Alligator mississippiensis: one gene and its partners. The protein of the gene in region 3 purifies or fractionates together with the protein of the main gene of each other region. This does not show direct contact. Links are inferred from orthologs where the notes say so. Each region holds a gene or a part of one and is shown on either strand. Other genes may lie near its edges. The genes, in order: PARS2, PRKAG2 and PRKAA1.

Region 1 (3,744 bases), on a different chromosome or scaffold from region 3:
TTAGGACTGCAATCTGCAGGTACAAGCCAATGTCCTGCACATTCACATTTAAGATCTGTGTGCTTATTAAGCTCTTAGGTCCCCCACTAAGCATGAGTTTTTGTTATGAATAATAATAATAAAAAAAGAATCACTCTCTTGTTAAAGTAAATTCCCCATCTGATGACGATTAGCTCAGGACACGATTTCTAGCACCGTGCTGCAAATGGCTCAGTGAGGCTTCCTCTCTAATGAGTGCTGTATTTGGCCCTCAAATGACTTTTAAAGATAGTGCTGAATACATGCTGATGGAATTGGATACACATGAAGACACCAAAGACTGCAGACCAAAATTTAGGGAACTTGCACTTTACTTAACAATTCAATAACACCTTCTTTAGTAAGGAACAAGACCTCTCCAGTGTTCTGACTCCAAACTTCAAACTCAGCAGGTGTATTCAAAACTTTCTTCCCAGCTATTACAACGTACGGGTAACCGAGTATGTTAGCATCTTTCAATCTTTTACCAATAGTCCAGTGAACCCTGTCATCCAGTATCAGGTCCCCTTTAACCTGAGGCACGCCATCAGCAATATCATCGTACAAGCTCTCCATCAGCGCCACTCCCACCTCTTCTTTGCTGCCCTTCTTCGGGGGTATGAGGCAGACCTGGTAAGGGGCAATGAGGCTTGGCCAACGGATTCTGTCCTCCGTAGAAAGCACCTCAACAGAAGCAGCCAGAATCCGAGTGACGCCCAGCCCATAACAGCCCATTTCCGCTAGCACGTGTTTGCTTTCGGCATCTTGGAAGGTAGCGTTAAAAACAGAGGAATACTTGGTGCCCAGATAGAACGCGTGCCCGACCTCAATCCCTCTGGTCTTTGTCAGTTTTCCGTGACAAACCGGGCAGTCGGTCAGGTCAAAGTTTATCGTTTCCGCATTGGCAGAAAAGTTGCAGCCTGGGCAGACCACGAGCCTGTCCTCTCCGATGCTGGCCGGGAGCTGGAACTCGTGAGACATGGTCCCTCCAATGCTGCCCGTGTCTGCTTGGACTTTTAAGATGCTAAGTCCCAAGCGGTTAAACACGCTGCAGTAGGCGTCACACACCAGGCTGTAGGTCTGGTGAGCAGCCTTCTCGGAGGTGTCGAACGTGTACATGTCCTTCATGTAAAACTCCCTGCTGCGCAGCAAACCAAAGCGAGGCTTCGGTTCGTCCCGAAACTTCCTCGTTATCTGGTACAGCAGGAGGGGAAGCTGCTTGTAGGACAAGGCTGCTTGCAAGGCAACCAAATGCGTAACGATCTCTTCGTGCGTGGGGCCCAGGCAGTACTCCTGATCGTGTCTGTCCGCCAGCCTGAAGAGCTCCCTGCCCATTACATCCCACCGCCCGCTGGCTCTCCAGAGCTCCGCAGGGTTTAAACTGGGCATGTTGACCTTCTGCCCTCCGATGCCCTGCATCGCTCGGTCGATCACCCGGACGAGCTTCTCCATCGCTCGAACGGTGTAGGGCATGTAGTAATAGCAGCCATTCTGGGCAGGGCAGATCAGGCCAGCCTGCAGCATCAGCTTCTGGCTTCTGCACGTCAGGTCACCGGGTTTGCTTTCCGGGTCCGCCGCGTGGTCTTCCCGAAGATTGAAAGGCTGGTAGAGCTGGGACACAGCCGCTCGCCTGGCTCTGGTGGAGCCATCGTGGTGCGCCTGGCGGCAGCGCTGCCCCGGCCCGGCGTGGGTCGGTGCTCCGGGAAGCAACTCCTTCCACCTCCTGAGCAGCCCTCCCATGCGCGGGCCCATGGAGGACAACCTGCAGCAGGACGCAGACATGGGCATCACGTTACTGAGGTCCTTTTGCCTTTGCGCCTCCCCGACCGAGGGCAAAGGGCTGGAAGAGCCACCAACCCCGCACTTCCCTTCCTCCCCCCGCGGGGCTTACACCTCACCTCGCACCCACGCAGCAGGAAGACTGTTAGAAGAGCTGTGCGGTGTCACAGACCCATTTTACAGACAAGCAAAGTGAGGCCAAGTGCCTGGAAGCGAGACCCTGTGCTTCCCGGGGGGCAGCGACATGCACGAGCTGCAGCCAACGTGGGGTGAAGCCTGGCTCCGCACGGGGATCCCCGGGCAGCCCCGCTCAGCCCGCAAGGAGCACAGGAAGCGCACGCGCATGTGCGGGAGAGCCACCACGCTGCTTTCCCTGCAGGAAGGAAGCGTTCGGAGCCGCCAGCCAATCAGAATGAAAGCGAACCCGCATGTCACACCGCAGTGCCCTACCCCGGATGCGGATGCTCACCCTGCGGAAGGAGCATACCATAGAGAGGGCGGCTAGCGGGGTGGTTTCCTGCCACCCCTCCTGCCGCTCGGAGGGCAAACTCTATGATCCTTTTGTCTGTCCTGCTCCCTGGAGCTGACTGCGCAGGGGCTGGGGGCGCTGGGGCGGGCATCGCCTCTACAAACGGGTTGCAACCGAGATGAGCGCTCTGCCTGCTGGGCAGGGGGTGTTTTGCAAGGCCAGCTCTGAGGGGGCTGCTAGGGTTGCAGTTTGAGCATGCATGTGCAATTGCAGGGGGCTCTGCTTGCTGCCCCTGCTCCCTGGCCCGATGCAACCCCCCTTTCCCATTAAACATCATCAGTCGCCTTCCTGGCAGCAGGGCAGAGCTTGGAGGCAGGAGCTGTCGATAGCACCCCAACGTCCCCAAACCGCCTGGGCCGTCTGTGCCACCGCACGGGCGTTTCAAGCCAGGCTGTCAGCCCTGCCTGCGAAACGCGCCGGGGATTTGTTACCTTCGAGGGATCGCTGCCCACCGGGACGAAGTTTAAAGCCTCCCTTGGAAAGGGAGGCCACTAAAGCAACAGCTACTTTCTTGGGACAAAAGGAAGGGAAATCGGGGATGGGGGCGATGGGCCTGAGCGCACCAAGGGGAGGCCGCGCTGGGCAGGGCCCGCTGGTGCTCAAACGAGTCCAAAGAGCCAGTGGACGTGGCCCAGTGAAACTGCCCGAAATGTGAGTGGAGCAAGGACTGGAAAAGATCCCCACCGTCACCACGATGGGGAGCAGGAGGCACTGGCGCTGTTACTGAAGAGCTGCCGGCGTACAGGAGCTTGCCCCGTAAACCAGGCGGGAGGAAGAGAACGGTCCGAGCGTGCCGGGCCTTTCACGCCTTTTGCCGTGGCTGCCGTGTAAAGAGATAGGAAGGAAGGGAGTGGGGAACAGATTGGGTGATGGCACAGAGAAGATCAACCAGGCAAGGACACTGTGCCCGACCCCCATGGGAACAAGAGTTTTTAGGGAAGGAAAGAGAGGACAGTCGCTTCAGGCAGTTGCCTCCTACAAGCATACCTTGGCAAGCGGGGACGCTAACAAACCATAGCTCATCTCTTCCCTATTTCTACTCAGGGCCAGGTGAAAGCTGCTGAGAAGGGAGTGCAGCATGTCTAGGGGAGGTGCAGGCTGTTGCCCGCCACTGGTCAGGAGAGTACGGGACGTGCAGTGCTCAGGACTGGGAAGAGGTTGGAGGGGCAGTGCTAAAATTGTGCCACCATCTCAGCCAAACCTGTAGCAAGCCAGTCAGCAGCTACATTGATGCATCATTGCTGACTTTCATGTGTATTGTGCTGAAACAAGGCAGTGTAGTCTTAGGCAGCTGGTGTGCAGTGACCACTGCTTATTAGAGTGACCATAACTAGCTCTCCGTTGCTTTCCATCTCCCACCTGTGGTACCGCTCGGTATTCTCCTGGCATCTACTTGGACTCTATACTCTGTCTTACTC
Region 2 (3,744 bases), on a different chromosome or scaffold from region 3:
TTCCTCCCACCATACTCATCTGAAACAGGTACAATCCTTCCACAGTGACCCAAGACAAAACAGGCTTTTTTCAAGCTCATCAATTATTCCCACTGTTTAGGTAACTCCTAAAAAAAAAAAAAAAAAAAAAAGGAAAAATCTGTAACAGAGAACCTTTACACCTTCCATTCAGGTATAACTACTGCTAGCTACATTGTTTTGCCCTTATATGTAATCCCATTTTCATGTAGTTTTTAGACTTTTTCTGCTTCTTGCTAATGATTGTCAATGCTTTCTAGGGCAGCTTTACCAAATGGCTCGGATTAACATCACTATGATACCAAACAGTATCAGACTTTTAATCTTTATCATTTCTTTCTTGTAGGTCTCTCCCTTCATGTTTTCTCTTCCATCTTGCTTTCCATGCACACCTTATTCTTCCCTTTCTTTGGCCTTACTTCAAAGATCTCAACGAGCAAGAATTAAGTCTCTCAGCAACAGACGTGATCTTGCAGCTAGACGAAGAGGAGGAGGATAAGCATAATAAAAAATACTGCCTGATGAAAACTCCCTTGACAACTACAGAAGCACTGACAGGCGCCACTGAAATAATAGAAATCATGCTCCAAAACAACAGCCAAGAAAGTGTTATGAAAGAGGAGAGGGAAAAAAACCACAGTCTAAATGGATCTTTTCAAATGCAGATTCCACTGTCAAACCAGAAGGATGAGGGGAAAAAAAACACTCAACACAATTAAACCGCAACATACCAGAAAATAGAAACCTGCTGATAAATATATAGCCACACCTGAAATGTCTAGGCCCTTTGATCCATTTGTAGGAATGCAGGCCCCAATTTCACTAAAAGAGGGAGGGGATCTATCCGCTTGGCAAGGGGAAGGAGAGGCAGGTCTCAGTTGCTCCTAGCTAAATCAGTGTTGAAACTCTGACTGCCTTGAGCGACAGCAAGATCGGCTCTTTAGCAGCAGATATTCACATATCTAGCATTTGCCAAGTGACAACCGACATTAGCAGGCTGTTCAAGGGAGGCAAAAAAAAATTAACGGACATGGAAAATGAATTATCTTCTTTGTCTAAAGGTTTTCCATTGAGGACAAAATTGAGGCTGGAGAAGAAAGGCAGCCTTGAGTTTTAGGGAGAAAAAATAAAGAGCCAAAACATCTGACCTCTCTTTTTAACTCAGTCCAAGACACTGATTTGGAAAGTCACTTGGGGCATTTGTACACATGCTTGTGCGGCAGCACTGGGTGCTTTTGAAAGCACGCGGCGCTGCGGCGCATACAAATCTGTACAAGCAGGAAAATGCGAGTCAACGCTGACGTTTTGAACTAAAACACATCAGAGGTTTCTTGCGCATTTTGCCACTTATCCAACTGCACGCGAAGCAGCACGGCGCACGTCAGTGCACGCGAAAAGGTATGTGTATAAATCCCTCTATGCCTCAGCTTCCCCATCTGTAAAATGGGAATAATCGTATGCTTCAAGACCATCGGTTGACGGTTGTTAAGTTGAGAAGTATTACCGATATCTAGACACCCTAGCGACAGACGCGTTGAAAGCCCCGAAGCAGAGACGGGATTCGTTTCGCCTGATGCCGCCTGCGCCGAAACGCTGCGGGACGGGAAGTCGGCGCGGGGCGGCTCGGGGCCTCGCGCCCTCCCGAGAGCGGACAGCCCCGCGTGGACGCGCGGCACGCAGCCCCACGCCGCCCTGCGCCCATTCGACACCTCCACTTGTCTGCACCCACCAACCACGGGAAACCTGGCACGGAGCATCCGCTCCCGGCGCCTTGCTGCGGCCAAGCCGGGCAGGGCAGGGCAGGCGGCGCGGCCGGGCGCCCCGGGCGGGTGCGACGAGCCCGGCTCTCGCAGCACAAACAGGAAGAAACTTTCCCCGCGGGCGGGCGGGCGGGAGGCGTGTCGCATTTCCCTCGGTGGGATGGAGGGGCGAGGCAGGGCCGGTGCCCCGCACTGCCCCGGCGCGGAGGGGCGCAGCTCGGCCAGGCCTGGCCCCCGAGCCGAGCCGAGCCGAGCCAGCCGTCCCGGGCGCGGCGCCGAGGCACTTACCGGGATGTGCACCCGCAGCGCGCGCTTCTTGTGGCCGGGGCCCTTCCTCCCGCCGGCGCCGGCCGCCTCCTTCCCGGCGGGGTCCATGGCGGCGCTGCCCATGCCTCCGCGGCCCCGCACCGCTCCCCCGGGCGACAACCCGCTACAGGCGCCCGGCCCAGCCCCGGCTCCGGCCCCCGCCCCCGCCCCCGGCAGGTGGAGCCAGGCGCCGCCGCCGCCTCGAGTGCAGGACGAGCCGCGCCCCCGCGCCTTGGGCGGGCCCAACGGGCCTCCCTCGCAGCGCCCGCAGGGGCGCCGCGCCGCGCCTCACGGCCGCCCCGAGGGCCGGGCTGGGCCGGGCCGGGCCGGCAGCAGCGGCCCACGAGTGTCGGTTTGAAAACAAAACGGCATTTTCAAATTTCCATCCCAAGCATGCCGGATTTGCGAGGTTTTACTACATGTTTTGTTCGTATTTAGAGGCCCCTCATAATGCCAGGCTGCGGGCTGTAGTTTACTTAGCTTGTGCCTAAGTCTGTTTCCGGGCCGAGGAGGTCGGTGCTGGCGGATCACCCACCCCAGGCTGGTAACACCGGCTTCAGCGAAGCCTGGGGCGCACAGCGGAGTTGGTGGAAATGCGAACGCTGGCTGTGCTTTTTGGCAGATCTGTGTTTTAGGGCATTAGAAAGTGCCCCCACACTCCATTTTCACTGGGAGCCCGGTGTGTAACGCCAGCATCCTTGTGACGCCAACGTTACCAGCATGGAGCGGGGGATCCTCAAGCACCAAATGCGCTGGACCGGACGTTGTGTGCGGACACCCGACTCTCCACTCCCACCACGAGTGCTCTGCTCCCAGCTGAGGAAAGGCCTGAGATCTTGCAGTGGTCGGAGGAAATCCCGTAGGAACACACTGAAGGCAGACCTCAAGAAACCAGATGCCGACCCCAAGAGCATGGAGGAGCTGGCTGGTGACTGACTCCAGTGGCGCTGCAACCTCAGCCCATTTTGAGGTAAAATGTCTTCTCTCAAAGCAGAGGAAGGAAAGAAGAGGAATCCCTGCAACTTCTGTGGGAAAATCTTGTGGCTCAAGGATTGGACTTTCAAGTCATCTCAAGAGACGTCAATGAACTGTGATAGAGATCGTTCTCGAGCTGACGAATTGCCCATGACGAACTCAGAAATTGCTTAGTGTCATGGGGAAATCTGGGATTTTGCAAAAGCGGGTGCAGATGGTGTGGCACATCGTCCTATGTGACAACACATTTTTCTCCAGTTAACGATAAATTAGAAGCATTTTTAATATGGGAAGGGGCTAGCACTGTATCATTCAGTTTAAGATCAAAGCCAGAACAAGTATAACGATTGGAATCCACACTAATTTGCTAGGATATAGATTACATTTTTTTAAATATCCAACACAAACTGGTCAAAAAATAGTCAAAAGATACTGTATCGTTACTCCTGTAGTCAGTTAAATGTACATCTCTTAGTCAGAGTCATAAAACGAAATCTAGCCTTCTTAAGCATCTTGACAGTGCTTCCAATATGATATTCGCTGTCAGTCATTTTTACATCTGCGCTAAAGTTTTTAGCTAGAATTAGAGGAGTGGGTAACTTACACCAGAATTGCAGGGAAAAAAGGGTAGTTTGAATACTGAAGCATCAAGACCATTCAAAAGCAGAGAGGGTCATTAACACTG
Region 3 (3,744 bases):
ACCAGAGCCAAAACTGAAGAGGCAAACCTGCCTATTAGCACGTATGTAAAAGGAAAAGGGAAGGGGGGGGGGGAGGGAAGAGGGGGAATACTGAATCCTGTAGAAGTCTCACCACAATGATCAACCAAAGGAAATTTTAAGCTTTGTCTTACTCTACCTTGCCTTCTGCCTAACATTTAAGGTTTTCACTTTTATACTTCTCCATCCTTGACTGCAGAAAGCTCAGAAGTAAAAGCATTCCTCTCTGTGGAGGCTGACTTGAAAACTTAAGGAAATGCCCCTTTTACAGTTTAGCAAAGTAGTCAAACGCCCTTTAGAGGTGCCCGCAAGTAAGAAAACTAAGCTGTCCTTAGGGAAACCACTCCCTCCAACAAGAGTAATTAAGAGTGCTGAACAACCAAAAAGAAGTCCTGCTAACAGAATGTCATGCCCTCAACAGAACTACAAAGAATTGGTAACTAGATGTCCCAAGACAAAAGATCACCAACAAGAGTCAATGCAATAAGGAACTACTTGTAATTAAAGCGATGTCTGAATGTCTCTTGAAACTTCAAAGCTTAATTTTATCCAGCCAGACGTTATAGAAAGGACTGGCGACAATTTTAGCAATGCAGAAATTACAAGGGAGTACCGTAATATGTACAACAGTTTGTTTGTTTGTTTTTTGCCAGCTAGACACAGGGTTTGCTAGCAATACCTGAAGTGCTGACTCTCATTCGCTTGTGTAATCGTAACAATGCTGTCTGAACCCTGGGGGAAATCTTTCTTAGGCATGTCTGCAGGTACACTAAGCTTTTTTTGTGCTTTTTATTTCAAGGCAAGAAGCTCCCCAAATATACTTGCCTTTAAGCATCTTAAAAATACTAAGGTTAAATCACAACTTCACTACATTCTGGATGTCTTTTTTGTTTCCCTAGCCATGCTTGGAATTTTCCCCCACACACACCAAAGTCAACATTGACTGTTTAAGAAGAAAAGCAAATAGTGCTTGGGTTATGGTTCAGTTCTGCAACAGTCCAGTGGTCAATTTAAAAAGCAAACCTTCCCTTAGAAGCCCCTAGTATTTAAAAAAGGCCCATATTTATTTTAACAAGCATGCCACAGACCTGTCTAGCAGATTTACAATCTAGAGCCTTATTTGAGGTGGAGTATGACTGCCACTAACCCTCAGCATGATCTTAAGAACTTCAAAACTTTTCCATTCCTATTTTTCCCACTTAGAGTGAAAAAACCTACCCATCTTGGATGGATGCCAAGTATCAGTGCTGGTGCAAACAAAACTACGAAATGCAAAAAGCCTTTTGAGCATCTCATTTCAGTGGCAAGAAACCTCAAAATATTACATGCAAAGACTATGTTTATTAAATGTGGTATTTGCCTTGCCTAACTCAGAAAAATGTTAATGCAAGTGCAGCACAGTCACTAGTAACTGCATGTGCAATGCCAGTCGTCAGCAAGTAGGTTTTCTTCTGATTTCAGGAAAGTGAAATCAAGCCATTTCGCCTCCGGAGAGGGGTTATTTCCTGCCATAAAACAGGAGGAACCACCCACTGACAAACCATTAGGTTCAACATTTGGTTCCTGCAAATGTTTGCAACATCCCAGGGACCGCTTGCACAGCCGGTGTGCTCTACTGCTCCAGCTCCAGAAAACCTTGGCTCGTCTGGTCTCCCACTGCCTGAAAAAGGGGCTTGTGCCCCAAAGCTTGCAGAGAGCTTTCCCCCAGCTATTTAGTTGGTTTAATAAAAGATATCACGCCTAAAGACGCCTGCCGGCTCTTCTTGTATTACTTTTGTGTGCTATAACGCTGAAGCGGGAAGCCCGTACCCACGCCCGCCCTGCCCAGGGCAAAGATCAACCCTGCGCCAAGAGCTGTCCCCGACACCCAGCGCCTCGCAGCCCACTGCCCTGAGCTCCCCCTGCGCACCGCTCCCACGTGCGGCGCTGGTGCCGGGACCCAGCCCCCACCGCACACCTCACTCTTGCAGCCTCCCCGGGACCCCAGGTCGCAGTGAGAGCCGGGCCCCCCGCACAGGCCCGGCCCAGCCCCCACCTGGGGGGCGGGAAAGCACGACCCCCGCCCCGCCCCGCCCCGCGAGCGGCCCAGGCCTCACCCTTGACCTTGCCGAAGGTGCCGACACCCAGCGTGTCGCCCAAGATGTAGTGGCCAATCTTCACCCGCCCGTGCTCGTGCTTCTGTTTATCCGCCGCCGCCATCTTGAGCCAGGAGCCGAGTCTGCGCATAGCGCCGGCGCGGGCGGGGGCAGGGGCGGGGAGCAGCAGCCGCAGTGCCCGCCCCCCAGAGCCGGAACCCGGAAGTGAGCGCGGTGCTTCCAGCCCTGGGCGCTCCCCCGGGAGGAACCATTTGGTGCTGGGAGGGAGGGATAGTGTAGAACCGTCCACCTGCGCGGGGGCAGGGACGGACCATTGGGGCTGGGGGCTGCGGACGAGCTCGGCCCCAGGGGGAGGGGCGCAGGGGGAGGAGTCGGCTCCAGCGCCCGGGTGGGCGCAGGGTCGGAGTCTGCCCGGTGCACGTGGCGCGCCGTGCGTCTTTATAGAAATGGCGTGGTGTGGACACAGAAATGTGTGCCCTGCTCCCCCCGCCGCTTCGGGTCCGACCCCACTCATCCCCCTTGCTGCTCCGGGTCCGCCTGGCCCGCATCCGCCTCCCTGCCCGCCGCTTCTCCCTCCCTGCCAGCTGTTCTGGTGGGGCAGGCGACACCACTACAGTGATCCCCCCCTCAGTCCGGGAGGAGGGGGAAGCCCCGCTACTCGGCAGCCAGGGCATGTTCCGCACCAGCAAGCTTCCCCGGTAGCCACGCAAACTTGGGCCTGTGCAGCCTGGGCTGCTCAGCCAATCACCGCCTGCCTTCGGGGGGGGCGCATGCAAAGTTGACCAGAAGTATTATGGACAGACGCATAGACTAAGCCTTTTATTACATTAGAAAGCCACCGACCCGCCCACGCTTTCCTTGACTGCTGCTCACTTCAGCTTAGACCAAGCAAGTGCCCTGCCCAAAGTATGCGTGTGTATCTGTAGCCTCCACTCCACACCCCACCAAACACATTTTGGACAAGCTACAAGGCAGGAACCTACCCTGCCACCTCCGTGGTAGCACCTGCACAAGGAGGCTTGGGAACTCACAATTTAGAATAGAAACCCGCAAGGAGGACACGCGCTACTTCTTGGACATAATACAAAGCCTGGGTTGTACACTCCTAGCAATGGGACTCCCACTGCCACTGAATCCAGTCAAACTCACAGTTTTCCAGGAGCCTAGCTGGCCTGTGACAGTGATGCAGTGACTTTTTTTTAAAGTCAAATTTCAGTGTTAGGGCCATGTTTGAACAGAAGGGCAGCCAGGGAGATTAAGTGTGGTAGCCTGTGTCTCGGCCACATTTGAGCTGTAAGTATCACATAATGTCTTTTCCCTGTTTTACACTCTTAGGAGCCATCCAAGATAAGAGGTGAGCTTCAAACAAACTTCAGGTCAACCAACAAGTTGTCAAGGCCAAAAGGGGGACAGGAGAGAGTCACTAAGGTTCTCCTGATCATGCATTTCCTCCGGAGTTCAAATATGAGAAGTCTTATCCACAGCACTAAATGTTGAGACAGCACATAAAGAACTGGCAGCAAAACCGCTGAAGGCATTATAGATATATAAACATCTACACATTATATGAGGGAAAATAAAACAATAATGCAAAGTGAAACAAATTAGGAGCCTAAGGCATAAAACAAAC

What was found.
Region 1: the proteins of PRKAA1 (region 3) and PARS2 purify together in Homo sapiens (affinity purification with mass spectrometry; 3 studies listed by BioGRID and IntAct, with this or other methods). This does not show direct contact. The link is inferred for Alligator mississippiensis from reciprocal best matches to the Homo sapiens genes PRKAA1 and PARS2.
Region 2: the proteins of PRKAA1 (region 3) and PRKAG2 purify together in Homo sapiens (affinity purification with mass spectrometry; 8 studies listed by BioGRID and IntAct, counting the BioPlex papers as one, with this or other methods). This does not show direct contact. The link is inferred for Alligator mississippiensis from reciprocal best matches to the Homo sapiens genes PRKAA1 and PRKAG2.

The regions. Positions count from the first base shown.
Region 1 is NC_081828.1:11,064,463-11,068,206, forward strand, and holds PARS2 (probable proline--tRNA ligase, mitochondrial), read right to left. Parts: upstream 2,226-3,744; 5' UTR 1,917-2,225; intron 1,781-1,916; 5' UTR 1,771-1,780; coding exon 334-1,770; 3' UTR 333-333; downstream 1-332. UniProt on the Homo sapiens protein: Mitochondrial aminoacyl-tRNA synthetase that catalyzes the specific attachment of the proline amino acid (aa) to the homologous transfer RNA (tRNA), further participating in protein synthesis.
Region 2 is NC_081828.1:207,041,252-207,044,995, reverse strand, and holds the start of PRKAG2 (5'-AMP-activated protein kinase subunit gamma-2), read right to left. Parts: upstream 2,218-3,744; 5' UTR 2,169-2,217; coding exon 2,067-2,168; intron 1-2,066. UniProt on the Homo sapiens protein: AMP/ATP-binding subunit of AMP-activated protein kinase (AMPK), an energy sensor protein kinase that plays a key role in regulating cellular energy metabolism.
Region 3 is NC_081826.1:275,805,298-275,809,041, reverse strand, and holds the start of PRKAA1 (5'-AMP-activated protein kinase catalytic subunit alpha-1), read right to left. Parts: upstream 2,290-3,744; 5' UTR 2,245-2,289; coding exon 2,115-2,244; intron 1-2,114. UniProt on the Homo sapiens protein: Catalytic subunit of AMP-activated protein kinase (AMPK), an energy sensor protein kinase that plays a key role in regulating cellular energy metabolism.